Arabidopsis thaliana: one gene and its partners. The protein of the gene in region 2 purifies or fractionates together with the protein of the main gene of each other region. This does not show direct contact. Each region holds a gene or a part of one and is shown on either strand. Other genes may lie near its edges.

What was found.
Region 1: the proteins of GAMMA-ADAPTIN 1 (region 2) and AT1G10730 purify together in Arabidopsis thaliana (affinity purification with western blotting; 2 studies listed by BioGRID, with this or other methods). This does not show direct contact.
Region 3: the proteins of GAMMA-ADAPTIN 1 (region 2) and HAP13 purify together in Arabidopsis thaliana (affinity purification with western blotting; 2 studies listed by BioGRID, with this or other methods). This does not show direct contact.

The regions. Positions count from the first base shown.
Region 1 is NC_003070.9:3,561,301-3,570,993, forward strand, and holds AT1G10730 (Clathrin adaptor complexes medium subunit family protein), read left to right. Parts: upstream 1-3,956; 5' UTR 3,957-4,162; coding exon 4,163-4,291; intron 4,292-4,431; coding exon 4,432-4,578; intron 4,579-4,684; coding exon 4,685-4,747; intron 4,748-4,857; coding exon 4,858-5,034; intron 5,035-5,108; coding exon 5,109-5,212; intron 5,213-5,304; coding exon 5,305-5,412; intron 5,413-5,536; coding exon 5,537-5,633; intron 5,634-5,727; coding exon 5,728-5,825; intron 5,826-5,925; coding exon 5,926-6,067; intron 6,068-6,142; coding exon 6,143-6,265; intron 6,266-6,380; coding exon 6,381-6,479; 3' UTR 6,480-6,806; downstream 6,807-9,693. Other genes in the region: AT1G10715 (EMBRYO SURROUNDING FACTOR-like protein), read left to right, coding at 1-195; AT1G10717 (EMBRYO SURROUNDING FACTOR-like protein), read left to right, coding at 880-943, 1,046-1,254; AT1G10720 (BSD domain-containing protein), read left to right, coding at 1,664-2,279, 2,380-2,567, 2,661-3,146; AT1G10740 (alpha/beta-Hydrolases superfamily protein), read right to left, coding at 7,043-7,247, 7,316-7,447, 7,529-7,966, 8,150-8,253, 8,341-8,441, 8,537-8,640, 8,741-8,835, 8,924-9,166. UniProt on the Arabidopsis thaliana protein: Subunit of clathrin-associated adaptor protein complex 1 that plays a role in protein sorting at the trans-Golgi network and early endosomes (TGN/EE).
Region 2 is NC_003070.9:8,437,691-8,450,081, reverse strand, and holds GAMMA-ADAPTIN 1 (gamma-adaptin 1), read right to left. Parts: upstream 9,004-12,391; 5' UTR 8,704-9,003; coding exon 8,672-8,703; intron 8,629-8,671; exon of another isoform or gene 8,315-8,628; coding exon 8,012-8,314; intron 7,837-8,011; coding exon 7,695-7,836; intron 7,597-7,694; coding exon 7,423-7,596; intron 7,159-7,422; coding exon 6,979-7,158; intron 6,455-6,978; coding exon 6,300-6,454; intron 6,066-6,299; coding exon 5,975-6,065; intron 5,872-5,974; coding exon 5,708-5,871; intron 5,575-5,707; coding exon 5,520-5,574; intron 5,368-5,519; coding exon 5,245-5,367; intron 5,160-5,244; coding exon 5,064-5,159; intron 4,938-5,063; coding exon 4,810-4,937; intron 4,564-4,809; coding exon 4,459-4,563; intron 4,359-4,458; coding exon 4,096-4,358; intron 3,936-4,095; coding exon 3,693-3,935; intron 3,604-3,692; coding exon 3,428-3,603; intron 3,307-3,427; coding exon 3,202-3,306; intron 3,026-3,201; coding exon 2,930-3,025; 3' UTR 2,401-2,929; downstream 1-2,400. Other genes in the region: AT1G23890 (NHL domain-containing protein), read left to right, coding at 9,279-9,333, 9,418-9,588, 9,905-10,069, 10,201-10,401, 10,487-10,584, 10,670-11,182; AT1G23880 (NHL domain-containing protein), read right to left, coding at 11,446-12,078, 12,172-12,260, 12,372-12,391. UniProt on the Arabidopsis thaliana protein: Subunit of clathrin-associated adaptor protein complex 1 that plays a role in protein sorting at the trans-Golgi network and early endosomes (TGN/EE).
Region 3 is NC_003070.9:22,365,836-22,375,698, reverse strand, and holds HAP13 (Clathrin adaptor complexes medium subunit family protein), read left to right. Parts: upstream 1-3,475; 5' UTR 3,476-3,813; coding exon 3,814-3,942; intron 3,943-4,306; coding exon 4,307-4,453; intron 4,454-4,552; coding exon 4,553-4,615; intron 4,616-4,758; coding exon 4,759-4,935; intron 4,936-5,018; coding exon 5,019-5,122; intron 5,123-5,225; coding exon 5,226-5,333; intron 5,334-5,472; coding exon 5,473-5,569; intron 5,570-5,654; coding exon 5,655-5,752; intron 5,753-5,864; coding exon 5,865-6,006; intron 6,007-6,107; coding exon 6,108-6,230; intron 6,231-6,311; coding exon 6,312-6,410; 3' UTR 6,411-6,746; downstream 6,747-9,863. Other genes in the region: AT1G60783 (cyclin-dependent kinase inhibitor SMR2-like protein), read right to left, coding at 206-526; AT1G60770 (Tetratricopeptide repeat (TPR)-like superfamily protein), read left to right, coding at 7,051-7,278, 7,493-8,740; AT1G60760 (Plant invertase/pectin methylesterase inhibitor superfamily protein), read right to left, coding at 9,376-9,863. UniProt on the Arabidopsis thaliana protein: Subunit of clathrin-associated adaptor protein complex 1 that plays a role in protein sorting at the trans-Golgi network and early endosomes (TGN/EE).

The DNA of each region.
Region 1 (9,693 bases), 4.9 Mb from region 2:
TGTGTAGGTAGCACGATAGGGAGATCGAGCAAAATCTATATACCATTGTGTTTTCACAACAATTGCATCCACCCATTTAAAGATGATTGTTGGTGTTGTCTCGCAGCTGGAACTAAAAAAGATTGGTGTTGGCTAGAAAAAGATTTTCCCGACGCCAAAGAGCTTTGTATGAAAACATGTACAAGAAAGATTTGAGGGGAAATCTATTGGAGTATGAATTTTAATTTGTTTCGGTGGGGTTTTTAGATTAGATGGGATTTTAATAAATTTCAAAGATGTTCTAATTATTTTAAAGGTGTTTTGAGATTAGAAAATAAAATTTTCGTCTACTAGTTAACTTTATTTTCGTCCATAAAAGCAATTAGCCGAGAGATCTTTGATTTCCCTTTCGCACACAAGATTTTAATACTAAAATCGAGATCCTTCTATTACAATATTTTAAATTTTGTATTTCAATACTTCAGTTTGTATTCTGTATAGTTATCTAGACGAGTTTAAGAAGGTGATAAGATTCTACAATATGTTTTGACAGCTCTAAGTTATAAATAAGATTATAACCTTATTTTGGGTTTGACCTGATAAATAATAGTTTGATCATTCCATAATAAGTAAACACACTCAAAATAAAATTTAATACATTAACAAAAAATAGATTCAATAACAATTATGAATTACTTAACAGAGACGTTGAATATGGATAAAAATCCTGAAATAAAAGGTTATATCTTGTTTTTTTCCTTGAAAGAAACTTAAGGTGTATCCTAATTTAATTTTCTCTACTTGTTTATATATTCTAAAAGTTTTTGTATTTACATAATTCCACAACAACTCGAGAAGACAAATAAAACTCACAACACAATTGTTTGAGACACTCAAACCATGAAATCATCACATACAACTTTAATCTGTATAATCATGCTCTCCCTCTTTGCTCTGCATGAATGTACGTACATAATTTTGTTTCTTCTCGTATCAATTACCTTTTTTCTCTTTTTCTTTCCATTGTTAAATTTGGTTTTGTGTGTATGTTCAAATCAATGTGTAGGTGAGAAGATGGAGGTGAAAGAGATAGGGAGATCGAGCAAAATCATTTTACCAGCGTGTATGCATGAGACTTGCTCCGGTGGTTTCTCACTGAAAAATGATTGTTGGTGCTGCTTGCGACTTAAAACTAAACAAGCTCGTTGTTGGAAAGAAAAAGAATTTCCCAACGCTAAGGAGCTTTGTTTCGCCAATTGTCCCCCTCTTGAATAATTTTTATGGATTCTGTCATTTCGAAGCAGATTTTTTTAAAAAACGTTGATAAATCTAAATATGTATGTTGCATATTCGATTTAAGGTTTTTTATGACATTTATTTCGATTTTAGTGGATTCCTTTACATTAATGTTACGATATTCTTATTTTCTATAATTTAAATTCACTGAATATCAACCAATTACATTTCTAAATAAAAATATATATTTTATAGGTGTTAGATAATCCAATTACAGTTGCCACCAAAAAATATGGAATTTAAAACTAAATTACAAGTATATGATATTTAATTTGGATGGGGTTTGTTAGGAAAAGATAAAATAATTTGCATAGTTTTAGTTTTTGAGTCAACCAAATGGATCAATAGATTAATTGAGAAAAAGAAAAGAAAAAAGAAATCAATCATAATGTTTTCGAATTTTTTGGAAAGCTTATACGATGGAATCGGAGACGATGACGCCGCCGACGACGACGAAGACAACAACAACGACGAGAAAACCCCGAAAGCCTCAACGGAAAGACACGATTTCTCGAGAAACGCCGTTCGTTTGTCACCGGAAGAGGAGGCTCAAGCGCGTGGGGTTAAAGATGATTTGACGGAACTTGGTCATACCCTCACGCGTCAATTTCGTGGTGTGGCTAACTTTCTCGCTCCGTTACCTGATGGATCTTCTTCTTCTTCCTCCGATCTATCGAACCATCCCAGGTTTAACCAATCTCGGTCTTCAGATCCTGGATTGAATCAATCGCGTTCTTCAGATCGGGACGAATCGTGTGTTGGAAGTGATACGCCGGAGACTGGAATTAGGTTTAGGAGCTGGGATTTAGAAGAAAAATTGGCAGAAGGCAATGATCCGGAGGATGAGGAAGAAGAAGAAGAGGAAACAGATGAAGAAGAAGAAGAAGAAGAAGAGATCGCTGCGGTTGCTCTTACAGACGAAGTGCTAGCATTTGCGAGGAACATAGCAATGCATCCAGAAACTTGGTTGGATTTTCCTCTTGATCCTGACGAAGATCTTGATGGTAACGTATACATTGAGTCAAGTCTTTCGCTATTAGTCTTCATTGATTTGACTTATAGGCATATCAAAAGTTTGATTATTTCAACTTTTATCTAATGTAGATTTGGAAATGAGTGATGCTCAAAGAGGTCATGCTTTAGCTATTGAGCGTCTTGCTCCGAGGTTAGCTGCATTGAGAATAGAGCTTTGTCCATGTCATATGAGTGTTGGTTACTTCTGGAAAGTCTATTTTGTTCTTCTTCTTTCAAGGCTCAATAAACACGATGCTCATCTTTTGTCTTCTCCACAGGTTAAAAAAACCTGAATCTCAATCTCTTCTTGAGTCAAAATGATTCTTTGTTGTTGCTGTTGTTTATTCAACAAAATCCTTTTGCTTTTGCAGGTGATGGAAGCTAGAGCATTGTGGATGAAAGAGCTTCAGAATCAGACACATTCTTCAAAAGAAAGTAGAGATATGATTCTTGAGGAAGAAGATATTACACCATCAACTTCTAATTACTACAACCATGCTCCTCCTGAGTTTCTTTCTCCAAGAATATATGCTTTTGAACCTCCTTCGATTATGTATCGCGATTTTGAACACGGGTTTGAAAACGCTCAGTTCATCGATAAAGCTGTTATTGAGGAAAAACCAATCCAGAAGAACGACAAAAATAGTGCAAGCCTTAGCCAAACATCTAAAGATGTTGTTGATGATGATGATGATGATTGGCCAGAAGAAGAAGATTCTGCTAATTCTTGGGCTCCAATGTTTACAGTGAATGAGGATGATGTTTCTTTCAGTGATCTTGAAGGAGACGACGATATAAGTAGCTTAGCACTCAAGTCTAAGATTACATCAAAGGGCACAGACCAAAAAGGAACATGAAACATCATCTGGCTTGTTGCTTTGCCCTGCCTCACGAGATCGAATCAATAGAATTGAACATAAGTACTGTGTGCTGAGTCAAATCGTGGAAGTCTTTTGGGTGAGTTTGATTGTTTTGTGGATTTATGATGTTTGCTCTCAAAGAGAAGGAAGAAAGAAAGAAAAAGGTTTTGATTGAAACATGTACAGAAGATTTACTTTGACACTGCAATTTCATTGTAATGTTCTCTCTCGCCAAATGTAATGAAATATTGAAAAGCACTATTTCATTCGCGTGGAACTTAAAAGAAATTGATAGAGAATGGCGCAAGTGAATTCAAGTGTAACAAACTGTTAGAATCATTATTGGATTGGAAAATCATATGGGATTTTATTGCTTATGTTGAGGATTTGTATGTATGAAAATGGGAACAACCAGGAGGAGCTATCATCAATTAACAAAATAACTCCTATGACTTAACTAAAAAACAAATCTATGTTGAAATGTATAACATTTGTCAAAATGCTAGTACTTTGTTAATAATTAAGGGGTGTTATTGGTTTGTGATTTATATAGAGTTTTAGTGATTTAAAAATATTATATAGAATCTGATGTTATTCAATTCAAATTTTCATTTTTTTTTTTTAATTTGGTATTATTAGTTTAAGATTTATAAAAATTAATCTAAAATCTTCGTAAGTAAGATTGCTTCCCTAATACAGAGAAAGAAAGAAAAACCAAGTAAGATTGGTAATACGATGTCGTTTCGCAGAATAATGCAAAGCTGAACCCAATTTAATAAGCTGCACTTTTCTTTCTTTCTCGAGTCTCCCGTCGTTTTTTATGTCAGAACCAATTCGTCAGGTCGTGAATAAGTGACTTTATCGACGAACCACCACTCAGCTGCAGCAAATGATCGTTTAGCTCCGGCGAAGCGTAAAATTCTTCAGATCTCTCTGGAATTAATAATCCGTCTGTTTGATCGATCTGATTCGGCAAATCCTTGAGAAAACAAGGAGGGAAGAAGAAGAAGAACATGGCAGGGGCGGCCTCAGCGCTGTTTCTGCTCGATATCAAAGGTCGTGTTCTCGTGTGGCGCGATTACCGTGGCGATGTCACCGCTGCTCAAGCTGAGCGTTTCTTCACCAAACTCATCGAGACAGAGGTGAAGTTTTAACATTTGGAACTAATGAACAAGCTTGATCAGTGCTTAAAAGGATTCAATTTGATCAGAATCGTTATACTTATGACTAAATGACTAGTGTTTTCTCTGCGGGTTTGCTTACTTTCGTCTAATATGTTCAGGGTGATTCACAGTCAAATGATCCGGTTGCTTATGATAATGGCGTGACCTACATGTTTGTACAGCATAGTAACATTTACCTCATGATAGCGTCCAGACAGAACTGTAATGCTGCCAGTCTTCTCTTCTTCTTGCATCGTGTAGTCGATGTAAGCATCCCTAGTGATTCAGTTTTTTGCATTTCCATCTGTTTTCTGAATTTGAAGAAAAAAGAACGGCACTGTTTCATATGTTACAGTCTTATACTGATCGTAGGTCTTCAAGCATTACTTCGAGGAGTTAGAGGAAGAATCTTTGAGAGATAACTTTGTGGTAGTGGTAAGATAATGCTTCTCACATCTCTTCTTATAACTGTTTTCCCTCTTGCATGAGGTGGATATGTGTGGGCGAAAGTTATTTCTAAAAACATTTACTTATGTTACTGGCAGTATGAGTTACTTGACGAGATGATGGACTTTGGTTACCCTCAGTTTACTGAGGCAAGAATCCTTAGTGAATTCATCAAGACTGATGCATATAGAATGGAAGTTACACAGAGACCTCCAATGGCTGTCACTAATTCTGTCTCATGGAGGAGTGAGGGGTTAAAGTTTAAGAAAAACGAAGTAGGTGCTCAACATTTTACTTTTCAATTGTTTTAGGTTTTCTAATGTTTGCAGACTGATGTTTTGTTTTCCAGGTTTTCTTGGATGTGATAGAGAGTGTAAATATCCTTGTGAACAGTAATGGGCAAATTGTCAGGTCTGATGTCGTTGGAGCTTTGAAGATGCGAACATACTTGAGGTGCGTTCTCTAGTGTCCCTAGTTAACCAACGCATTTAAAATCAAAAGTCCCTCCTCTTTGACTCTCTGCTTCTTTATCCATGTTATTACAGTGGAATGCCAGAGTGTAAGCTAGGCTTGAATGACAGAATATTGTTGGAGGCACAGGGACGAGCAATAAAAGGAAAAGCCATTGATTTGGAGGACATCAAATTTCATCAGTACGTTAATCTCTTGCAACTTTAAACATTCTTTGACAGTCACTCTATCGAGGCCAATTTTTTTACTAACTCGAAAAATTATTGAATACTTGAGTTTTTACACGTCTCTTTCTTCAAAATGTAGGTGTGTTCGATTAGCCCGTTTTGAGAACGACAGGACAATATCATTCATACCACCTGATGGATCTTTTGATCTTATGACGTATAGACTCAGTACTCAGGTTTTAGAATGTGTAATATTGCAGAAATGGTTTTGTCCCCTTCTTAAACGAATTATATCATGATATATCTTATTTTCGCATAATACTTGTTCAGGTAAAGCCTCTTATATGGGTGGAAGCGCATATAGAGAGGCATTCCAGAAGTCGTGTTGAGATGCTAGTAAAAGCTAGAAGCCAATTCAAGGACAGAAGGTAAGTAACAAATGTTACTTAACACGTTTAACCATTACCTGAAATACTGAAATACTGGAATCCTTTAACGCGTTTTGATAAGAGTTCCTTTTTTCTGCAGCTATGCAACAAGTGTTGAGATTGAGTTACCTGTACCAACTGATGCGTATAACCCCGATGTAAGAACATCTCTCGGGTCGGCCGCATATGCTCCTGAGAAAGATGCACTGGTCTGGAAGATACAATATTTCTATGGGAACAAGGTAAGTTCTTATAGTTTAATGTAACACTTGACCATGTAAAGTCGAATGCTTACATTAAGTTTTGAAACAATGTAGGAGCATACATTGAAAGCAGATTTCCATCTTCCAAGTATAGCCGCAGAGGAAGCAACGCCTGAGCGAAAAGCTCCAATCCGTGTCAAATTTGAGATCCCAAAATTCATAGTTTCAGGAATACAGGTTGGTATTACTCACAATGATACGTTATTATCATATAGATCACATTCTTTTTATATTACTGCATTGAAATCTGAAGGCAAACAAACCTGATGTGTGTTAATTATGGGTATTGCAGGTTCGATACCTGAAGATCATTGAGAAGAGTGGGTACCAGGCACATCCATGGGTGAGATATATAACCATGGCTGGTGAGTACGAACTGAGACTCATGTAAAATGAGATCGTTTTTTTGTTTTTACTATTATTTAAGCCATTGTCAACGACACAAAGCAGAGGAAGATCAATGAGAAAAGGAAAAAGATTGAAATATATTAGCTGATAGAATTTGCGGTGAAGGTTGTTTTAGAAGCCATTTTCTTGTGAATTGTTTCATGGCGTTCTCTTTTTTTTTTTTTTTTTTCTGTAAAACTATATACGACAGTTATATATATATTGGGTTACAATTGTTAAACATCGAGTTTTATTTGGGGTTCTTTCAGTTCGTTTACCGATGGAAAATGCATGCAGTCTGGGTGACTACACCAATAATGGTTTTCCTTAAACGTCCGCTAATTTTGTAAGAGTTCACTATATAAATAACTTTGATGAGGCAGTAGAGCAACATGACGAACTAACAAATATTATAATTTTCAAAATGGAAGATATATATTTTACAGTACAACAAATCGAGAGGAGAACAAGAAGAACAATGAATAATCTGTATTAGTAGTAAATAGCCTAAACAAAAACTTAAGCCCTCAACGTAACAACCCTAAAACATTTTTTTTTTGCATGTGATCAATGTACAAAGTTGTTTATTCTGGGTGATGATGATGAACGAGGAGAAGAAGGAGATTGATTGGGGAGAGTCTGAGGAATCTTTCTAAAAACATGTTTCCTGCAACGTTGGAAGATGCTGTCGTATATCAGATCAAACTGAACACCAGCTCTCTCTCTGTTCACTATGAACATTATGTGATCTGCTTCCACTATCTTATAATACCTGCAACAACAAGGTATTCAGATTTTCTCAATCCATCAACGTCATTAGGTCATATATGATTCACTTACCAGATCCCGGGTTGTAATGTTTGACATTCCGAATCGCTCCTTATGAACCGGCTCGGATGCTCAACAGGTAGCCTCGGATGTGTCATTGATATTGTGTTCAATGCCCCGTCGTTCTCTTGCCAGTCCTCATCCCTTCATTCAAACATGTTTTCTTAGACCAATGCAGCAAGGGCTTCAAAAATCAATGTTAAATTTTTGAGTGTTTTTGAGTACCTGTAGCCTTTATAAGGAGGAGAGACATCTTGTGGGAATTTCCATTGGCTCATCTGAAAGACGCGGAGGAAGAGCATCGGGTGGATTCCAAGAACACCTGAAGGGATTGTCATACCCATGACTCTGCGGGTGCGTTTAGTCGCGTAGCTGAAGTAGTAAGTGTTTGGGAACGTCTGGAGATTGGAGTTAATACTTGTTGAGCCTTGGATTGTGAGATCAGGTAAGATCCAATCGCCAGAAGCAAAAGGACCTGCGTTTCCCATTAGGCAATCAACGAGACCTCTCACACCGGTCTTCTTCCAAGAAATGTTGAAGTGATCGAACCCGAAATTGTAATAAGTCTTTAGCCATGAAATGTCCAACCAATCGTACATTATCACGCCTATACGACACAGCTGCAACAAACATATCGGTTTCATGCTCACTCCATCATCTGTCCTGTAACAGCAACAATAAGAATCAACAATTAGGATAAAAGATCTTGGTTTTCTAATACAGGAACATACAATTGCTTCAAAGATCAAACCTTATTTCAAAATGAAGAAACAGGAACATTCCAATCAATTGTAAAGATCCATGTAAATACCGAAAAGAATTGAAAATGTCAGAATGAAAACTAACCGCATGCCATCTAAGTAGGTCCTGGTAGTTCCATTGAATGCCCCGGATAACGATGTCACACTCAGAACCCAATTCTCATTCGTTTCTTCAAACCCTTCAAATGCCTAAACATCATGGTTTCGCATCATTCATCAAACATAGCTTTTAAACCAGAAGATATGCTTCCATTAAAAGAAGGATTCGACACAAACCTGATCTGCAAGCATTTGCTGCAATACACGCACAACTTGCGCACCCGCTGAATGCCCCACAAAATGAATAGGATGATCCTCATCCCATTCAGGGTATTGCCCTAAAACACATACCAAAATCAGACTTGCATTCAACATGAAACATTTGGGGTATATTAGTAGTCTCTTCCAATGAGCATTCATATCAAAATCTAACCTTGTTCGTATCTTCTTCCAAACCGAGAATGTCCACAAGCCTCGCTATGCTCTTCGCCAAAATCAACTACCCCTCCTTTCAAATAATAGAACAATTCCCTTGCCCTGGAAACCAATGTTATCATCACCACAATGCACACATGGTATATCAAGATCTAGATCAAAACAACAAAATCCTAGGAGGTGCAAAAAATGAATCCAATACCTGTCATAGATGCTTGTTAAGGAACCCAAATCAGGAACAAGAACCCTCTCATCTTTCTTCTCAGCACCGCCAAAGTAAGATAAGCCTCCTAATCTCTGCTCAATCAAAGCAATAAGATCAAACCTCAAAACCACAATCAAATAATCAAAAGAACCAAATTTGAGGGGTTTGTTTTTGCATTACCCCTTTGCCAAATCCAAAGATGCCATGAACCAATACAATAGGAGGCAAACCCTCAACATTGGTTTGATTTTGACCGGTTTCTCCGAAAGCGACATTGGACTTAAACAAGTAATCATTCAACGTCTGAGAGATATCTCCGGCAACGGCGGAGCTAAATATATAAAACCCATAAAGCAAATGCACAATAGAGCTCACGAAGAGCTCCGCGAGTTGGAGAGAAGTCATCATCCACAACTTAATCATCTTCTTCTTCTACTTCTTCCCCCAAAAATCAAAAATCGGAGATTTAATAAAAATGAAAAGCAAAAAATCGAGGTAAAGGAATCTCCTTTATCCTAAAAAATCAAAAACTCCCCGGAAGAGGGGAGAGAAATAGAGAAGAGAGCCTTCTTTCAAAAGAACATAAAGAAGATGCTCCTTTGACGAAAACCCAGAAAGGAAGAAAATTCGAAAACTTTGAATTTCCCCGAGAAAATAAAGGAAAATGCGTCGTCTCTCTCTGTCTCTTTTATCATCCAACAAAAAACTTTGTTATCCACTTGTATCTGCCCACCTCTCACCAAAACTAGAAAACAAAATGAGTTTTCAAAAATTGACAATCTTTGAAGCTGAATCATGCCATGTGTAACGGTGGTGACCTCTCCCTCAAAACTCCGAGTTTCCGCAATAATAATAATATTGTAATGTCTCCACTAAATTTTTGGGGGAATATTTTGTTAATAAAATAATGAATACCTTAGAGATGATTATTATTAAAATAATTGAGGGAA
Region 2 (12,391 bases):
GGAAATTTTTGTAAAAGGCATATAAATTTGATGCATACTTTGTATCAATCAGTTTAGTTTAATAAACAAAAAAAAAAAAAAAAAAATACTTGCATAAATTTATTAATAATTTTGTTTTGTTATTTGTAATATATCGTAACTAAAAAGTGATTATTCGAGTAAGTTGAGTGACGTGAGCATTGACTGATATTTATCTGATAACACACATTGCTCAAAACGACGTCCACTTTTTTTGTTGTCAAAGGTTCAAAACAACTTCCTTTTGATAAAAAACTCTTGGTCCACATAAACACATTTTTCTTCTTGAAAAAATACTAAATATGAATCATTTGCGTGTGCTTCGAGTTTCTTGCTAGATTAAGCAGGTGAAAAATAATAGGTCTTCGGTCTTCATGACTTTAATTTAACAGACTCAGCTTGAATAAAATTTCAAGTTTGACTCATAAAGGGGAAATAGACAGATGTTGGATCATGAACGATTCACCGCACCAAGTTACGAATTCAAAACCTTTTTATTTATTTCATTATACCTTTTTCTCAAAAAGGATATAAAGAGAATCAGTTACGTAACATGCCATGCTTCGGTCAAGTTAAGGAATAAGGATTCTTATTTCTTAAATAATTATTAATTAATTTTTTTGGTTGTATGATTTTCTCTAATCCAATTAATCGCTAGCTGTGTTATACTAAAAACAAAACAAAAATCGTCGTCAGATCAATATTTCGGGTTGCTAAAAATAATTGCAATTATAGATTGCTCAGTTTGTGTAATTAAGTTGAGTAACTATATTAATTTTATTTCATAATGATCATTAGTTAAAATCATTTTAAATTCATCACATTTCGATCAATTTATATTTCTTGATTAAACCCTAATTAACTGCTATGTTTCACGAGGTAATATACTTCGCTAGCTTAGTTGGAGTGAATTAATACATTAGGTAGATTATATCAATTTGGCCTACATAAGTTATTTACCCTCCTGTGTATCACATTAGATAATTAAATGGGTGACGCAAAAAAAAAAATTGCTGAAATATTTGTTTAAGTTTAGAAATACTATTCAATATGGTGAAAAGGTTAAATGAGTGGGGTTAGGTAAAATAATTAAGGAGATTAATGTAATTTCAGAACACTCCCTTTCTATATAAACATCTTAGTTGAGACGATTATTATTATCAAAACCACTTTTTTTTTTTTTTTTGTTAAAGATTATTATCAAAACCACTAGAACATATACTTTTAAAAGAAATTATAAAACTAATTAGAGAATGGCACTGGATGGTGTATTTAACTAGAGATTTTCACTGAATAATGAATGTCATTTACGTCGATGTGTTTTATTTCTTTCCCCAACGTTTACGATGTATTTACCCATGAAGCTTTCCATATATATATATGCATTAAATAAAACTTTAATATTATCGTTGTATTGACGATTGTAATAAAAGGGTTCAACTATTCCACGTTTTGTCAAATGGGTAATTAACTTAGATATGTGTGACTGTGATATGCAACTCTTCATTACATTACAACTCGAGAAAGTCAAGTAGAGATATTTGCAAGCTAAGGCTTGTTTAATGGAAAGGCTTGTACAAGCAACGTCATGTTACTAGAATATTATAATACATTTTTTTTATGAAGAGACAATGATATTTTAGTAATAGCTATTAGCCTATTATCTAAAACTTATTCGGCAACTAATCATGTGTAATCAAAGTAGCTATTCAGTTTAACATTAATATTTTTTTGTAGAAATTCCCTTAACTCCCAATTTGTATCCTTCAAATTCAAAACTATAAACACGTACGCATTTCCAAAACTACCACAAAATTTTAAATTAGTAAGAGTTGGTAAAAGTATAACAAAGTTAAAAAAAAAAATACATATTTCTGGAAAAGTTTGAAATTTACAAAAGTCATTCTTTTGTTTTGTCTTAATACAAAAATGACTGGGCAGATATTTATATCATGGTACTATTAGTCAAAACCACTTTGATTTTATGAATTTCGCATCAAGCCACATAATCATTTAAAATAATAAATGAATTTCTGTTTATGGTTTATCTTTATCTTTTATTTTTGGGACAAATATATGTTTAGAATGAAAATATGGAAAAGTGAAATTTATATCATGGTACTATTAGTCAAAACCACTTTGATTTTATGAATTTCGCATCAAGCCACATAATCATTTAAAATAATAAATGAATTTCTGTTTATGGTTTATCTCTATCTTTTATTTTTGGGACAAATATATGTTTAGAATGAAAATATGGAAAAGTGAAGTCGAAATATATAATTTTCTGTGGTGGGTTTTTAAGAAAATAGATTATGTTTAGAATGATGATTTATTGATCTGTTGTCTTCAAAATCATATCCAATAAAATCAAATGAACATCCACCATTTGGTAACATTAATAAATAACACATGTTCGAATGTCTCTATATCTGTACTTAACAGTTTCTAGCTATCAGAAAATTAGAATTCGCTTCAAATAAGAGATGTGTGTTGGTTGATCAACCAAAGACTTAATCCAATAACACATGCAAACTACGACATGATCCAAAATCCAATACTCCTTCTTTGCAAGACGAAAATTGTAACTGTAGTAGATACATCATGAGTTATGGTTATGGGTCATAAATCACATCTTTTTTATAGTCTCAGAGACATGAGAGACAAATTCTACTTCTTGACCACTTTCCGATTCCAAACATCAAAACTTTTGTACAAAAAGAAAACCCAAGAACCTCAAATCACAAGCAAAGGCCAAAGTACTACTTGTTTCATAAAACGGATGAAAAAATTGGAAGGAGAAAGCTGCATCAACGGCTTGGGCAAGACTTGTCTTTCTTTTTTAGTTGGGTTTGATAGAAAGAAACACTCAAGTCCTTATGCTGAAAATACAATGGCTGATCGATGAGTTTCACAACCCGCGAGGGAAGTTGCTGACTTGTCCTTCCTCTAATACATCTTTTCCGTTCAGTTTGTACCCAATCCTCATGCGCATCACAAGAGATTTCTGCAATAAACATTAAACCCTTAGTGTTATGTTAAGTCACTGAATCCACAGGCTCAGCCTATCTTTATTTGAGCATAGATTATGTTGTGGATCATCAAGTGCTATTCATCAATGCTGAGCACGGAATGTTGAAGACATAAAGTTAGATAGAAAGACGAACAGAGAATGTGCCATACCTTCCCCTGCTGGCTGTTAGTGACTCTTAGATTCTGCGTGATGGCACCACTACCGCTTGCCAGGAGTGTGTTACTGCTAGCTGGATCCAAGTGCAGCTGGAGGAACTGGAAGTTACACAAAAGAAAGAGAAGGTTAAAGAAAAAATTGAAATCTATTTACTGCTTTATCAATTGGGAAAGATGAATAAAGGGGAAAAAAGCAAAAAAAGAAGATAGATGTAATTACCTTTGGAACAGCAGCCTGGAATATAAAATCTGTGAAAGTATTGGGAGATAAATTAGTAAAAGTAGCCTGGACATTTGTCGTTTGCAGATTCCCTGGTGTCTTTGAGAAGGTGAACTCAATCTTCAAGGAGCTGCTCTCGTATGCAACAATAGGTGCATAAGCTGGACCATTGGTGGCTGCAATAAGGAGGAAAACTTGTTATTGACCTTTGTAAAAGAGTTTCAATGATTATACAGATCTTTTTCAGGTTAAGACTTTTTCCTACCTTCCTTCGATGGGCTTGGAGAAAGACCATCTAGCAAATCAAACATACCGGTGGACGAAGTTGTTGCTACGTGAGGTGGAGCTGGTGAAGAAAGTGTGTCTAGCGCAATTGAGGGATTATTGTTAACGTCAGCTATTGATAATAAACCAATAGATGATGTGCTGTTTTGTGCAGGAGAAGGTGTTCCAATTGATAGAATATCCAGCAACAGATCTGTGCCAGCTTTTGGAGCCTGGGTTGCACCTGAATCATTGGATAAAAAATGGAAGACCAAACATGAGTTATCCTTTTGCAAGGCAATGAGGAAAATGATTTTTTTAAAAACTTGTTCATTCAGAGACACATAGCAGATGAGCACGCCATAATATGAACGCAAGAGCTGTAGAACCGCCAAAGAACTAACCATATTGTGCTGACGATGAACCTAAGTCTACACCGAGAAGATCCTGAAGGAAATCTGTACCAGATGGACTAGGTGCAGCCATGATATCGTCAGAATCTAGGTCTAGCAAGTCCACAAGAGGAGCGACAGGAAGTTTCTCAACACCATTTTGAAGGCTAACTGAAGGCTTGGCCATGGTTGAAACTGATGCAGGAAAAGAGCCGGCCCTCCTCACATTGAAAGTAGCCTCATCCAGTACCGGCATTCTGTCAACCAGAGAAGACCTGTATGCACACATACCTCTATCATGAGCTTTGAGGGAGAGAGAATATGAAAAACTTACACTAGAAGATAGATGAGGAAGAGAGGCACAAGGGATTCCACCTGATATTTTTATGCCTGTCAACTATAGAATTGTATTCAATAGCTCTCTGCTGCATTTCAAGGAGAAGGCTTCCTTTCTGCTTCACAATTATGTCTTTAATTCTCCTGTCATTGAATTTTAGAAAACTTTTTAATTATCAATAGAGAGTTGAGGACAGGATGTACATGTATAATATATTTCTAATCTTTTTTCAGAAGGCAACGCGCTACAGTTTCTTGTAGACAGACCAAAATTTATTATTCATATACTAGTGCGCATATGCATCTTGTGTAGAGTTGAAAAGGGATAAGTGCAGATATCAGATGAACGAGTTGAGATAAAAACAGATAGCACAACGAGGTCAGACATACTCTGAAATAGAAGGAAAGCGGGATGACAACTTCAGTAGAGCAACCAATGCCATTGCTTTTGTAGTCGAATCTGAGTTATGGCGAGTAATGGCATCCTCGATAACGTCCACTGCATCAGATTCCGTTACCTGCTCAAGGCAGTCACATACTCGTTGCATATTTTTCAAAGCAAAAATGAAATCCCAAGAAGCAAAAGCATCTGCATATTTATCATGGAGCAAATAATGAATTAAGATTGCCATTGTGATGCTCACCGTTATTGGATCTTCAATACCAAGCATCCCCACATTGTTAACCAACAGATCACCATATTCCCCAATGCACCATACCGCCACTCGGACAAGGGTCTCCTGGTTATCATCTCAACGAAACCATATTAGAAAGGGTTACAACTGATTGAGGACTGAGCACAATCTAACATTAGAAAATAGCTACCTGTTCCGAATAAGTCAAGACTGATTTGTACAAGGCCCTAACTGTATATCCATGAAGCTCTGATGCATTGCTTATGACAACAATAAGTGCATGCCACACATCATCTTTCACAAACTTTCCAGCCTACTAACATGGAATAGATGACAATAGGTTATGACAGATACAAACAATGCATTTGAAATTAGCTTAAGCAGATATAAACTCTCAAACGATTTCAAAGAGTGCAATTAACTGGTAACACGTTACAGAGCATATTCTCGCGTTTGAATCCATACCTCACACAGAACCTTGAGCATCTGATCAATGTACCATAGTTTTTCTGGAGAAAACCTACATTATCAAAAAATTTAAAAAGTCAACAAAAACTTCAATCAACTAGACATTCACAGTAACTTTCCAATCATCCTGACCCCCAACTTTCTCAGAGTAAGTAGTCATTCTATTTCTTAAATAGAATACTTACTTTTCAACGATAAAACAAATTTTTGCACTAAGATCTTCCTTAAAATCTTCGTCGCTGATTTCCAAATAATCAATTAGCTCCTTTGTCAGTTGTGTGACATTGTTTTCATTCACCAAAAGAGTGACAAGCTCAAGAGCTCTTTTCCGGATAGAAGCATCTGGGTCCTATATTGTTATGGAAGCAGAAACCAAATTAGCATTTTTTATTTCTCTAAGATATACTTAGCAGTTAACATTGTATAAAATATTTTCCTGGTAATACTAATACCTTCACACATTCCAAAATTGTAACTCTGTGCCTTTGCACTGCTTGATCATCGAAAGTGATAGCTTTCATCAGCATGTTTAATGCAACATATCTGAGAGAACGAAAGTATGAATTTCATAAGGGAATGCAGCGTTTTTGAGAGAAACGAAATCAAGATTAGAAAAGGCAACGCTGGTTGGTCAGAAGAGCATTGTGTGCTTCATAGAGTTAAGCACATCCAAAGAAAGATGATAGACAGAAGAAAAATACAAGTAAGCTAGTTCCATTACAAACATATATAATACCATACTATTATCAAATAAAATTGAGGTGTAGGGGGTTGAACCTGATGTTATTGTCGCGGTTAGATAAGAATCTTCCCAAGATATTGATAGCAAGCACACGCAAGCTATTGGTGTCTTCAATGGCCATGATTGTTTCAACACACTCATAGAGTACCGCATTCCCTGCGTTTTTGTTTGATTCAGTTTTTGTTGCCACCTACAATAGCATGAAACCAACGAGAATAAATATCAAAGAACCAGGATAACAAAGTATCCGACAGTAGATCCCTGACTTTGAACTCAAAAGATTTCCAAAACAAAGCATGTAACAGACGCAGGATGCATTCATCATGGTGAGATAGAAAAGGATTGGCGCAGCCTACAGATTTATATGTCCGTCCACAAATCAACACTTACTATGACAACAAAGACCGGTATCAAAAGAGGGAGAATTCAAGTACGGCAAAAACTCAGTAACCAATAAGTCTTCTATCTACCAAAGAGAATAATAGCCCATGAACCCTATCAACGAAATGAAATTCTTTCTCCATTATGCTATATTTAACAGAATCAGTTCCAGCACATGAGAGAGCATAGCTATCTTACAACATTTTTCCGAAAAAATATATGTAAGGTAACTGGAACAAAAACCATAAACCGTTGATGTTTAACAAAGGAATTACATCGCAAATGTGAAGATGGTCAACCATATCCAGAATCACTTGCTAAACTATGACTAACCTGTGCAAGTATATCTGTCATCAAATCACTAGCATCAGCATCACCCTGGCCTAAAACACGCAAGAGCCTGAGCAACCGTATGTGGAGAAAAGGGTCTGTGATCCCTGCAACATCATACTCAGGCTGATATGCGCTATTAGTAATATCCCTCAAAGTTTTTATCAGTCCCTCTGTGCATTTCTGCAGAGACAAAACAAAGACAAGGGTTTGTCAAAACTGACGGTCTGATAAAACAATATAACAACCTGATTGTCTGCCTCATTTCAGCAGAGTAATCTATTTATAAGTGAATACCACAGATATCAAACTTTATTGCAAGAGAAAAATAGTACACAAAAGCATCATACAGGTAATATAGTATCATATGTACGCATATTCAATTAAATTACGTCGATGCTCCTGTATGCATAAGTAGAGTGTTCTGTATAATATTTATAGACTTACCGTTCTGAAGTACTCTAGGGCTTCATCATTAATCGTGCATAATTCATAACAAAGTTGAACTCCTGTTATAAGAACCCCATGATGCTTTTCTTTAAGCAAGGAAGCAGCAGCATTTACGAAGTTTTCTGCTAGATCTGGAACTTTCCTTATTATTCTAGTAGAGCAAAGCGCCGCCTGCATATAATACAACATAAATGGTAAAGGCAATGAAGGAAAAAAAAAAAGCGACTAAACTCCAGGAGACCCTGTATATGAATTAGAAAACACTTCACCTTCTTTCGGATATTAGGGTCACGAAACTGGATTAATCTTTCTACTTCTGGCGCAAGATCACGGGCCATTTCTGCTGAACAAATATTCCCTAAAGCACAGAGAGCAAGTCCTACAACATACTGGTTCGAGTGATTAAGATCTCTGCACGTGACTTAAGGTTAAACAGGAACAAATCTATTTAAATATTTTTCTCCTTAATTCCCATAACAGCAATGCAATCAAAAATCAAGTGTTCTCTAGTATTTTTTAACATAGAAGAAGAATCCATTCAAAGGCCAAGGTATCAAGATTTAATACTAGAAATTAGTAAGGATACTGTTTTAACGAATTTGTGACAAGCATCAACACTTCTTGTCTCTCATCAAGAAGCAACATTAGCCCTAGATATCCAATCCTCTTCTCTGGAAATCCAGGAGATGCAATTAGCTTCAAGCACTCCATCTGCCCAAAGTGTGTGGGATAACCCAGCATGTGTATAAACATGAGTTTCGCAAGGTTCCGGTGCCGATCATGCGGGTCATCTTCATTAATCAATGCTCGAATATCGGCACACTCCTTTCTTACAACAGCTCGCTCCTCCGCAGCTGTTTTGCATGCTCTTATGGCACGGATCATGTCCCTGAATCATACTCATATGTCCACTATAACTTCAGAACCATATACAATAATCCGATCTGATTCCACTATTAAACCCCAACAGCAACATGACCAATCCAATATTCAATTAAATTAAGCAAAAGGATTACCAAAAATCCTTAGTGTGATCATGTTCTTAGACTAAAATCAAAATTCTAAATGGAATCAGAAACACCAATACCAAATTCATCTTCGAAACAGGCCAATCAACAAAATTCAATCCTCAAATGAAAACGAGCTCAATTACATCATGTTATATTCAAATTTCATTTGTAAGCTGATCAACGACTAAGAAACCTGAAACAGAAACGATAAAAAGGAAAGAAGAGAATCAATTTACCTTAAACGAGTACCAGAAGAAAAGGGATTCATGATTTGGGGTGTTCAAGAGTTGGACCTTGGTCCACCGGCAACTTTACGAGGAATCTGAAGAAAATGAAAACTTAGCCGGGAAGAAGAGTTTCGCCGCCGGGATTGTGAAAATCCGTTACCGGAGTTTCGAGTAGCTGATCAATACGAGAGAGAGAGATGAAAATGAAACTGAGGATTTGGATCTCGATGGACGATGCTCGTTTTTTTCTTCTCAGTCTTCGTAAACCATAATTGCCAAATTAAATGCGTTGTATAAACATGACTTCCATTTCCACCTAAACGGTAACGTTTCGACCAGCAATCCTCTCAAAACAAAAACATAGACTGGGCCGTTTCTTTATAGTTAAACACATAAATGGGCCCTACTTGGGCCGTTTTTATTAGTCAAATTTGAGAGGGTCGATGATACGCGCTCTTTCATTGGTTGTTACACAAATTCTCCCCTACACTTGAACACATCATAGTATCGCTCAGGCCCTAGTATCTTTTTAAAACCTTTAAAGATGCTAAGCAGCAAAAATAAGTAACACAACACAAGTTACACAGAACAGTCGCTTTCTCCTCTCGATTTTGACATGGCTTGGGGATTTTCGTCCGTGTCTCTCTTCTTGTTCGTCGTTTTCAATCTGGGTATATTTTCAAAAATCTGTTAATTCAGTTGAATTTCCCAACCCAAAATTCGAATTTTTAATTTTCCTCATGATTTTGTTACAGTGAGTGGTAAGATAGTTTTAGAAGAAGGGTACGAAGTCACAACGGTGGTCGATGGCCATAAGTCTGGTCTGAATCCATACACGATTCATGCTTTACCAGGATCTTCTAATCTGATCGTCCTTGATTCTTCCGGCAGTACATTTTACACTACTTCCTTTCCTTTGTCCGTTGGTAAACACCCACAAAACCACTCTTTTGTCTCATCTATTAATCGGATCATTATAATTGTGTTTGTATATGAGTTGTAAATTCATGGATGCATAAGTAAATGTTTAGAGCTTGTTGATTTTGATTGCAAGTCTTGACCTTCATTTTTTCTTTCTCCGTAATCTCAAATTGGACCACAATACTAATATGTGTGTGTATGTGTGTGAAACGATCAACCTGCAAATAAAAGTTCTAAACTTTACTATAAGTGAAAATTTTGTTTATCTTTCTTTCAATTGAAGTTTGAGCTCACTTTGAGTATGTGTGTGTGGTTGTGCAGATAGTGTGATAAACCGGTTTGCTGGGGATGGGAGTTCGGGTCATGTAGATGGTAAAGCTGGTAACAGCCGGTTCAGCAAACCCCGTGGTTTTGCTGTGGATGCTAAAGGGAATGTTTATGTTGCTGATAAGAGTAATAAAGCTATACGGAAGATCAGCTCTTCAGGTGTTTGTTTAATCCATTTCTTGTATTCCTTTTGTATAAATGCTAGTTGTTGTTGTTGTCTAATCTTAGTTTGTTGAAAGAGCCACTTAGTTTATTTTGATTATGCATGTTTTATTTACTGGACTTTGTAGGTTCTGTAACCACCATTGCTGGAGGGATCTCAAAGGCATTTGGACACAGAGATGGACCTGCACAGAATGCTACTTTCTCTAGCGATTTCGAGATAACTTTTGTTCCTCAAAGATGTTGTTTGCTTGTTTCTGATCATGGAAATGAAATGATTCGCCAGATAAATCTTAAGGAGGAGGATTGCCTCGAAAACTCTCATTCTAGTATGTCTTTTCTATAAGTAATCTTTTGTGGATTTGACTAACCATGCCTTTGGAAACTTCAACGATTCTTCTTTCACTGTTTCAGATTTGGGGACATACTCTCTTTGGTCAATAGGGATTGTCCTTTCCTGCATTCTCGGGGTAGCCATTGGATTTGCTGTTCGCCCTTACGTCATCCGTCATGTAAGTTTTTTTTAATCTATCCTCATATTACATACTAGTGTATAATCAACATATCAAATCTCTTAAACCAAATCGTTATAGACAGGAAGAAGTGAACCACCTCTCGTTCATCATGACATGGAAGCTTCTCCTAACCAAATTGGGGGAACAAGTTCTGACCTTCTTCTCCTACATTAGAAACCGAGTTGCTGAATCAACCGTTTATTCAGTATTAAGTAGACTAGTTATGATGATCGTGTCTCACCTTTCCCTCATGTATTCCGCCCTAAGTAGTTTAATTTGTTCGATGGTATCTAGCCTTTTCTTCATGTGTCAACCCAATAATGTAGCTATTTTAGACAAAACAGTCTCTGTGTCTGATCCCGAGAGTCCAGGTTGCGGCAACCCAAAGCCGCCCCTTTCACTGAAACCCTCTGATGATCTTATTGACCTAATAAGCTTTGATGATGAACAAGAACCTAACAATGACAAAGATTGCAGGAATGAAGAGACTCTTCCTCATGCAACCATAGATGACATTATAAAGGTTCATGTTGAAGAATTTTCAAAGATGGCTGAAGAAGATACTGTAATTCATGGTTCTTCATCTACTGAGTAGGTTTCAGTTAAAAGCACATGAATCAGAGAGTATGTGTCTTTTGTAAATGTAAAGTTTGGTTGAGTTGAAAAATCTTTGAATATTTATTGAAGTGCTCATCTTTTTTTCTTTATATCAAGGAAGAATGATTAATCTTTGGTACTTTTCTTACAAGAGAGATCTAAATACCCAAATCCCTATTGTGCCTTCTCAACAAATTTTAAAAAACTATACCTGAATTCCCAATCTCTACTACTACTATCATATTAAGCAACTTCTCATGTCTATGAATAGTATCCATATGGGTAACTCACAAATTGGTGAGCTCTGTGGTGGATATTCTGATGAGTATTCATCTGGTCTTGCTCCTGGCCTGGCCCAAACACAATCTCATTAGTCTTCTCGCTGCTCTGCTCATAAAGAGTGTATGGGATTGTTGAGTGATGCCTATGGTGATACTGCTGATGCTTCTCTTGTTGCTGCTCCTGGAGGAATTCGGCGTCCAAGCTTCTGTACAAGGCACGGCTTTGGCGCAGCTGTTGCATTTTCTCTGTTGCATCTTTGGACATGAAAGGATAAATTTTTCCAGGAGTGGCGTTCCTGGACTCGACGGGAGGTGGTTCATCTTTGTTGTGTATTACAAAGCTTTCTTGAATTGGCCATGAAGTTGTGCTAAAAGCAGAATGCTTTGTTTCTTGATGGTTGAAGTTCAAGCCGACTGTCTGCTTCTTTCTGAGACCGGGAAACATTCCACTGAACAGCTCCACAGAAAACACCCAAGCATTTGAAATGAATATCTGCAACGTTCCAAGGAAGCTTTCTTCTTGTTTTTCTTGCTCGTCTCCAGTTAGAATTAGCGGTGGTCTGACCGGTTTTATAGGATCTTGATCAGGCACAGCTTCAAACACTTCTTGATCCTATAACATATACACAACAGGAAGAAATGTTGGTTATAACTCAATTATAGGGTAGCATAAGAGAATGATGTTACAATGCGAATGTACACTCACAGTATGATATGAAACGATAGAACTGAGTCTACGTTGCAACAAGGCCAGCATATAGCCAAAGAAAACTGCCGCTACAAGAACTGCAATCCCTGCAATATTAAAGCATTGAATCAGAGATACATTAAAGAGTAATTGAGATAGAGATGACTGAAGAATGCAAGAGGGGACCCAAACGGAAAACTTTGGTATGTAAATATTACCCAGAGGAAAGCCACTTCCA
Region 3 (9,863 bases), about 14 Mb from region 2:
AAACTAAAAGATAGATACTTAGTAATTGTATCTTTTTTTGACAACCATTTTAATGTTAAGACACTTCAGAATAAAGAAGCTAAAGTAAGGAAGAACTCATTTAGAAATTTAAGAAACTATTTTTTTGAAGTAAACCAAAACAGGTTAGAGAGAGTAGAGATTATATATAAGTGATCTCTATATATAATTAATCAAAAATTCAAAATCAAGTAGTTCTGTATATGAAGACGGTCTCGAGATCTGGTGGCGAAAAGAACTCTCTAGGGCCGTAGCTAACCTTCAATGTCAGTTTCCGTTTCTTAGGCGCCGGAGGACACGGAATTACCGTCGGTATTCTAACGGAATCCGCTGTTGGAGTCGTTGGACAGAGATCTTCGTCTTCCGTGTTGGATACGGCAGAGGAAGAGAGGCTAATCGGCTTCACCGTAGAATGTAAGGAGATTCCGGTGATGACGCATTTCTTCCCTTCGGTAGTTTCGCTAAATTTTCTGTCAAACTGGTGGTAAGTCTTGCCGGAAAATCCCATAAGTTATCGTATGAAGTTAAGAGAGAAACAAGAATTTTTTTTGATGTAAATGAAGGAAATGGAGAATGAAAGAGTAAAAGATTAGGTTGTTGTTAAAGTAAGACTTGTTTGGAACGAGAGAGAATGTGAAGAGAATGAAACATGTGATTCAGAGAAGGGGATTGGTCTTATAGTCAACAGTGACTTCAAGACAATCGATCGTTCGATGTCGATTCAGTTCAGTTATTTTTTCCACGAATTTTTTTTTTCGAAAATTCGTATCTTAGTATTTATTTCCTTGGTTACATTAAAAGAACGTAACGAAGAGATAGTGACATTGAGTGTACATTGTATCTTTTATTAAATGTGAGAGAATATCCTTTTTTGTTTCTTTTCTCAAGCATAAAGAATGTAATCATGGTATTTAAAGCATATGTTTAATGTGAAAGAAATACAGTATTATGTACCCTAAATGGAACAACTTATTTTGATATACGTTCTTAAGTTATTTTTTGATACATAATTTAGTGGTGATGCCAATAGTTTTTGTTTTAGTCATACAAACTGAAAGGTGCTATAGTTTTTAAAGGGTGGTGCAAAAGATATCGATCGTAGTCAACTAAAAAGTGCCCTAACTAATGATTACGATAATCCGTTTTATATTGGTCGAAGTTAGGTGATTAAAATATGGTTTCTCTACAAGTATTTTGTTTGGACACTGCAAATAAAACCTTCATGCACATAAATTCTGGAACCATCTTCATTTTTTTCATAATTAATCTCTATCATATATAGTAGTATAGACCCCGAAGTAACTTAAATACCAATTATGTATTATAAATACGGATTGATAACATTTCATATCGAAACATTTCATACATTTTATATCTGTAATGTTACAACCAGTCTAAAGCCAAGGATTCTAGAAACTAGAAACAAATTTTACTAAAATTAATTGAGGGAAAACTCAAGAATGTGTGTGTGATCATTGAAGAAATGAAGAATGTGTGTTAGAGTGAGTGAATATTCAAAAGACTCAAATAGGTTTTTAATGAACAATAGGGAACCCGAGGAAACGCGTGACTCTAAGATATATGAATTTATTTTGCACTTATTACTTTTGATTAATTTTTATATTCTAACCCTTTTTTATATACTATTTTTTTCAGTGCAAGTAATGAATGAAGTAACGAGATGAGAGTCTAGTTTCAAAGTTTTGAATCTTTTTGGTCAATGTCGTCTCTATTTGTTGACCATATTATACGTTTGACTTTAACCCCATTTTTCTTTAATCTCATTCTTCTTCTTTGCTTCAATGGTTGACGAATTCTTACCGTAGAAGTTGCATCTAAATATACCAAAGATTAATACTGCGAAAATATGATAAAGAAGATTTTTTTTTTTTGTACTCTCTAGAAATTTGTAAACGATATTATTAGTGTTTGATTAAAGACTCCAATTTTTAACATAATGTCTATATCCACATAATGAATTTGTGTCTCTACTATATGTAGTGTTCCCGTCATATATGCATTTTTGCGATAGTCAATCGGATCTTTGTATTGCGGTTAATTGATCTGGTCTTTCTTGAGCGTACAAAATAAATAGAATTGTACGTATTATTAGAGATGGTTACATTTGGTTTACATTATTAGTTAAAGTTAACCAATAATGTAAACCAATAAAGTTAACCAATAATGTAAACCAAATGTAACTATCTCTAATACGTATGTTGACTATGATGTACTTCAAGACAAGTTCATCATCACTTAACGTAACTAACACTATATTAGTTAAGTTCAAGACTTATTGCCCATGATTCATTTGTAAACTATGAAGTAACATATCTCTGATTTTTTCCTCTTATGTTTGATAAATTAGTCATTATAATTAGTGTCTTGCCAAAAAGTACACTTCTATCTTATTAGCATTCTACATTACAAACTATTAATTTCACTACGTATAGCGGTATAGGGAGAAGATCAATAAGGCGATCACAATATTAGTTAAGTTCCGAGTCTTGCATTACCATTGTCCTATGAATCACAGAACAAGAGGACGCATATATATATAGTATTTATAAAAGACTAAGATAGTCACAGAACAAGAGGACGCATATATAATTGACAAATACTCAAAACATGTGAAAAGATAAGGGCTATTACGTCTTCATTAAGATCCCATAATCTTTATGATGAGAACTTAAGAGCCAAACTAGCTATGTAACAAAATATCAAGTTTGAAAGTAATAAACTGCTTGAATAAGCTTCAAGTTCACTACATGGTTTAGAAAGGTTTAAAATCTATTACTTTCAAACGCTTTTATTGTGTACCAATCAATCCAACAAAGTATGCAATCGTACTAATCAATCCAACAAAGTATACACTCACACCGGTAACATCAAAAATTCAAAAATTCAAAATTTCATGTTACCAATCAATCCAACAAAATATACAATCCCTGAGACCGAGTTATAATTTGTTGGAATGATTGGTACCAGTGAAATTGTGTTGTCGTGTGAACATCAACACATAGGAGGTAATATACGTAAATATGCTAGCAATCAAGCTAAGTATACAAAACACTTCATGTTGCAGTGTTCTATTGAAATTTTATATATCGAACTAGAATACTATCATGGAGAATGATCAAATGTTGCATATCTTCATATCCACGAAAAATGAGTACACAAACATTCGATCATACCCCATGACAGTTTTCTAGTTTATACTTGATAGTCCTCACGATTTCATGGTGGTGACACTACACAAACCCTAGATTCCCCTAAAGTTTTTGTGAAAAACGCATATGTTCGATTTTAGGTTTTACTTCTATCCTTGATTCATTACAAACCTATTTTTATACTAATTCGTCGTTAACCTAATAATTTTAACCTACGAAACCCAACCTATATGGGCCTGACTTTATGTAATGATCCAATGGGCCTTTCTTCTTCAATGATGACTTTCTTCATTGACTCTCCTTCTACTTTCGATGGTATTAAATTTGACGGAAAAAGTAAAACGATACCGTCTGGGTGAAAGGCAGAGCTCTTTGCTTCTGAATATTATTATTTTCTTAAATTCTTCCGTTTTTTTTTTTAATCCAACCACAAGGATCGATAACGAAATCATCAGATCGCCAGAAAAAAAAAAAAAATTGCGAAATGGAGAATCTGAGCTGCAGATCTGCGTCAATCTCCATCTAGATGTTGTTGCTACTTCTTCCTCTATAGAACCATAATTTCATCAGATCTCGCTGATTAATCATCCCCATTTGGATCTGATCGAAACTCTTAGGGAAGAACATGGCAGGAGCTGCCTCCGCGCTGTTTCTGCTTGATATCAAGGGACGCGTTCTCGTCTGGCGTGATTATCGTGGCGATGTCTCCGCTGCTCAAGCCGAGCGATTCTTCACTAAGCTCATCGAGAAAGAGGTTGTTCTGATCTTCCTCTTATCGCTAATTGGTCTTTGTTTATTGCTTGGTTACTGTAGAATTTTCAGAGAAACATAGAGTTAGCGAACGAACTTGTAGATTTGTGTTTGAAAGATTCGTCAATTGGAATTGAAACATTTCGAAGATAATGGATTCGTGTCCATTTTCATCTGCACTGGAAATGAATTTTGAAGATAATGGATTCGTATCAGTCTTTGTGATCTGATGCCGCTGAAATTTTTTGGAAGTAATGAACAAGTTTGATCATTGGTTAAATGTTTTGGATTAGAATTTGATTTGAATCTGTACTTTTGAAGCATTCTGGTTTAAATCAGAGTAATCATCGTTTTGTTTAATTGTTCAGGGTGATTCACAGTCAAATGATCCAGTTGCTTACGATAATGGGGTGACTTATATGTTTGTACAACATAGTAATGTATACTTGATGATAGCATCCAGGCAGAATTGTAATGCTGCCAGTCTTCTCTTCTTTCTTCACCGCGTTGTCGATGTAAGTATGGCTGGTCAATTCTTTAGTTTTTCTCTTAAGGTTCCATCTTTTTCCTGGATATTTGATGTAATGGCAATGGTATCTGTTATCTGGTTATAGGTTTTCAAGCATTACTTCGAGGAGTTAGAAGAGGAATCATTGAGGGATAACTTTGTGGTAGTGGTATGTTAAGCTTCTGTCATCGCTCTTTTAGTACTATTTCGCAATATATTTTTCTATTACTTGGGCAATCAAAAAGATCCTTAAAATTTTGGAAAAGTATTTGTCATTGTTAGATGCTGAAATTGATTTTTTGGTGCTGGCAGTATGAGCTACTTGACGAGATGATGGACTTTGGTTACCCTCAGTATACCGAAGCAAGAATTCTCAGTGAATTCATCAAGACTGATGCATATAGAATGGAAGTTACACAGAGACCTCCAATGGCTGTGACGAATGCTGTCTCCTGGAGGAGTGAGGGAATACAGTACAAGAAGAATGAAGTGAGTGCCATTGTTTTCGCAAGATAGGAATATGTTTCTGATGTTTCGGTTTGCAAATAATGACAACCTGCTTCTTTTTCCAGGTTTTCTTGGATGTTATTGAGAATGTAAATATTCTTGTCAACAGTAATGGGCAAATTGTCAGGTCTGATGTTGTTGGAGCGCTGAAGATGCGAACTTACTTGACGTATGTCAACACATCAAATTTACGATATAGTTCCTAATCAGCCAAAGCATGTTAAATCACGTCCCTTTTTGACTATTTTGCTCTTTGATCCATTCTATTGCAGTGGAATGCCAGAGTGTAAGTTAGGACTGAATGATAGAGTATTGCTGGAAGCGCAGGGACGAGCAACTAAGGGAAAAGCCATTGATTTGGAGGACATCAAATTTCATCAGTACGTCTTTAAGTTTTTATTATATTGAAACTTGGAAAGTCTTCACTGATCTTAACCCTTCTATTTTCTTTTTGTTCAAAAAGATTATATACTTGAGTTTTATGTATTCTCTTCTTCAACAACCATTTATTTAATGCAGGTGTGTTCGATTGGCCCGTTTTGAAAACGATAGGACGATATCTTTCATACCACCTGATGGGGCTTTTGATCTGATGACATATAGACTCAGCACTCAGGTTTGACATGTGGGATATAGCATCTACTGGAATTGTTCCACGTCTTCAACAAGTAAATATCATGATTTGTTTCTTTTATGTTCAGGTAAAGCCACTTATATGGGTGGAAGCACAAATAGAAAGTCATTCAAGAAGTCGTGTTGAGATGCTCATAAAAGCTAGAAGTCAGTTCAAGGAACGAAGGTAAATATATTCTATGGTATTTGTGCCACTTTCCTTTTCTGTCTTACTGTCATGCAAAGATCCTGATTGATCAGATTCTTTAAACCTTTGATCACGAACATTCTTTTTGTAGCACCGCAACGAACGTTGAGATTGAGTTGCCTGTACCAACCGATGCATCTAACCCCACCGTTAGGACATCTCTAGGGTCTGCCTCTTATGCTCCTGAAAAAGATGCGTTAGTCTGGAAAATCAAATCTTTCCCGGGGAACAAGGTATAACACTAACAAGGTTCAATAAACTCTTAAATTCAGTTGAAACAGTCAGCAATGTAGACTATGTAGTATCAATGCTAACCTTCAGAAAACCAATATAGGAGTACATGTTAAGGGCAGAGTTCCATCTTCCAAGTATCACTGCAGAGGAAGCAACTCCTGAGCGAAAGGCTCCTATCCGTGTCAAATTTGAGATCCCTTATTTCACTGTTTCAGGGATTCAGGTAAGCTTGTGCTTAATAATAAATGGTTACTGTCTCTTCCACAATGTCATATATATAATATATATGTTCTTTGGTGTGTAGGTTCGGTACCTAAAGATTATTGAGAAGAGTGGGTACCAAGCACTTCCATGGGTGAGATACATAACCATGGCTGGTGAGTACGAACTAAGACTCGTGTAATGCACATTTAGTTTCATCGTCTATGTCAATTGTGATTCCCACATCCCTCAAGGAATTGCCTGAATCAAAGAAGCAAAACGAAACAGGACAAAAGTAGAGGGAAAAGAAAACGTTTTGAAACATTTTAGCTGATCAAATTTTCCTTTAATTTGTTTTAGAAGCCATATTCTTGTGAATTTGTCTTTATGGTGATTCTATTTTATTTTACATGAGGCTCTCTGTAACCTTTCACGACATGGTTCATTATTTTCCTTTAGACTGCTACATTTCTGTCTATGTGTTCGTTCTGCGATCAAAATTGTTAAACGTTGAGGTTTTGGTTTTGTTTTTTGGGGCATTCGTCTATGTTTACATAGGTTTCTCTCGAGTTATGATCAAAATGAAACTACATAAACAAATTATGCTTCAATAGAGTGAGGTGAGAGAGCCTTACAATAGAGAGAACGTATATTTTGGTGTTTCTCATATTGTTTAACTGATATAGTATGGGCCGAAATGAAATAATCGTCAGGCCCATTAAAAAGCCCATAATCACCATACTTTCTCCTCCAATTCTGTTTCGAGCTTGGGAAGTGACAGTGAATTAGGGTTTTACTCAAAAAACCTTCTCGTTGTCGTTGTTTACTGCTCCGACGAGAAAATGGCGATGCGACATTTGAGCCGATCGAGAGACGTTACAAAGAGATCGACAAAGAAGTACATCGAAGAACCTCTGTACAATCGCCTCTTCAAAGATGGTGGTACAGAGGTCAAAGTTCGACAGCAGCTTAATCAGTTCCTCAAAGGCACTAAACACGTCTTCAAATGGGAGGTCGGCGATACGATCAAGAAACTCCGAAATCGCGGCCTCTATTACCCAGCTCTCAAGGTTTCATAAATCCAAATTGCATTTTCGATTCTCTAGGATTAGCTTCACAATAAGCATTTGCTTCAAATCTGTTGAATACATATAGAAATGTAGATTCTTAAGTGGTATTTTGATGCTCATTATGAACAATTTAGTAATTGTTGAATAATTTTTTCACTGTGTGATGATTGTGTCTTTAGATTTCATATTGTGGAGTTGTTTTTTTGGTTTGTAGCTATCTGAAGTTATGGAAGAGAGAGGTATGAACAAGACAGTGAGTGATCAAGCAATCCATCTTGATCTTGTTGCTAAAGCTCGTGAAATTACTGCTGGGGAGAATTATTTTGTTGATCTTCCGGAAACATCTAAGACGGAACTCACGTATGGGTCTCTTTTGAACTGTTACTGCAAGGAGTTGTTGACAGAGAAAGCGGAAGGTTTGCTGAATAAGATGAAAGAGCTCAACATTACTCCTAGTTCCATGTCTTATAACAGCCTCATGACTCTTTACACCAAGACAGGTGAGACTGAGAAAGTTCCGGCGATGATTCAAGAATTGAAGGCGGAGAATGTGATGCCGGATTCGTACACTTATAATGTCTGGATGAGGGCTTTGGCTGCTACTAATGATATTTCTGGTGTTGAGAGAGTCATTGAAGAGATGAATAGAGATGGTAGAGTTGCTCCGGATTGGACTACGTATAGCAATATGGCATCGATATATGTTGATGCTGGACTGTCTCAGAAAGCTGAGAAGGCTCTTCAGGAACTGGAGATGAAAAACACGCAACGGGATTTTACGGCATATCAGTTTCTTATTACTTTGTATGGACGTCTGGGGAAGCTGACTGAAGTTTACAGAATTTGGCGTTCGTTGAGGCTGGCTATTCCGAAAACCTCAAATGTAGCTTATCTAAACATGATACAAGTGCTGGTCAAGTTGAATGATTTACCTGGTGCAGAGACATTGTTCAAGGAATGGCAAGCTAACTGTTCTACTTATGACATCAGGATTGTGAATGTGTTGATTGGAGCTTATGCTCAAGAGGGTCTAATCCAGAAAGCAAATGAGCTCAAGGAGAAAGCTCCCAGAAGAGGTGGAAAGCTCAATGCTAAAACATGGGAGATCTTCATGGATTACTATGTAAAGAGCGGTGATATGGCTCGAGCACTCGAATGCATGTCAAAGGCAGTCTCCATCGGCAAAGGAGATGGTGGCAAGTGGCTACCGTCACCTGAAACAGTCAGAGCTTTGATGAGCTATTTCGAGCAAAAGAAAGATGTTAATGGAGCTGAGAATTTGTTGGAGATTTTAAAGAATGGAACAGACAACATAGGCGCAGAAATATTTGAACCATTGATAAGAACATATGCAGCAGCGGGAAAGAGTCACCCTGCTATGCGACGGCGCCTGAAGATGGAAAACGTGGAGGTTAATGAAGCGACAAAGAAGCTACTCGATGAAGTATCTCAGGATGTGTGAGGTCTGTTCCATCTCTTTCTCCTTCATTATTCACTTCAGACAAAGACATCATTAGTCGTGATAGGGTCACTTGCATTCTCACAGCTCTGTCTCTTATTGGTAATAAAAAAATAGGCTCTGAATCGGCAAAATCAATTGTATGGGTCTGTTTTACTTTCACCGTAGACTGTTTGTTCATGTTTTTGTGAATTGTTTTTGGTTTAGCTTGGATTTACAGTTGAGACAGCTCTCACAATGTAATCCCTTTTTTTGGAGATCTTATTTTGGTTCAAGACAGAAACAGTGTCAAGAATACGATATAATGCTCATCATTGTTAATGAGGAACAAATGTTTGCGTATTGTGTTCGAAAATGCACTAATTAAATCTGCGAAGAGCCGTTTTTCTGTTAAGTCCGTTAAAAGTGATTTGTCAAGAAATTCTGGGGAAAAAGATACCACAAAAAACTCATGGGCTCGGAAAAATTTGGAAATGGCTAAAACTTTCTATTATAGTTACATTTACCCGATTGAAGTTGACCAAGAACACCCTCTGAAATCTAAAAATGAACATTTACATAAACATAATTAAGAATAAGCTTCGTCTGGTCAGTTTTACAGGAATTAGTTTTAGTGTTTTCTTCTTCTATAGGCTCGATCATCTTATCAATGTAGCAAGCAACAAGCAGTTAGTTCCCATCTTCCTGAGCTCATCTACATCGTTCTGAAGAGTGTTGACTTGATGTGAATCTATGAACCCGTTGACACAAACACCATAATCTGACACAGCCGCGGTCAAAAACATTTTTAGCATCATAACATTTCTTTTCCTAATGCTAGTCCTTGCCCTCCTAAGATTGAAGGATGCATCCACAAGAGTCGCATAGCAAATTGCAACAGTTGGATTTCCGCTCTTGAATCTCGCAGAGTCTGTAATTGCCAATTTCGTCTTAGCCTCCAAGGCTCGGATCGTGCTGTGTGTGGCTCGTCTCGGGTTTGGCCCTTTCACCAGCGGTCGACACAAGGTTGGGTATGCGGTTTGAGCGCATAGGCTCGTGAAACGAGCTTCCGTGGCTTGGCTTGCCGCCAGGAGGATCACGATTGCGACAACAGTCGTGAGGTACATCTGGATTGTGTTGCGACTCG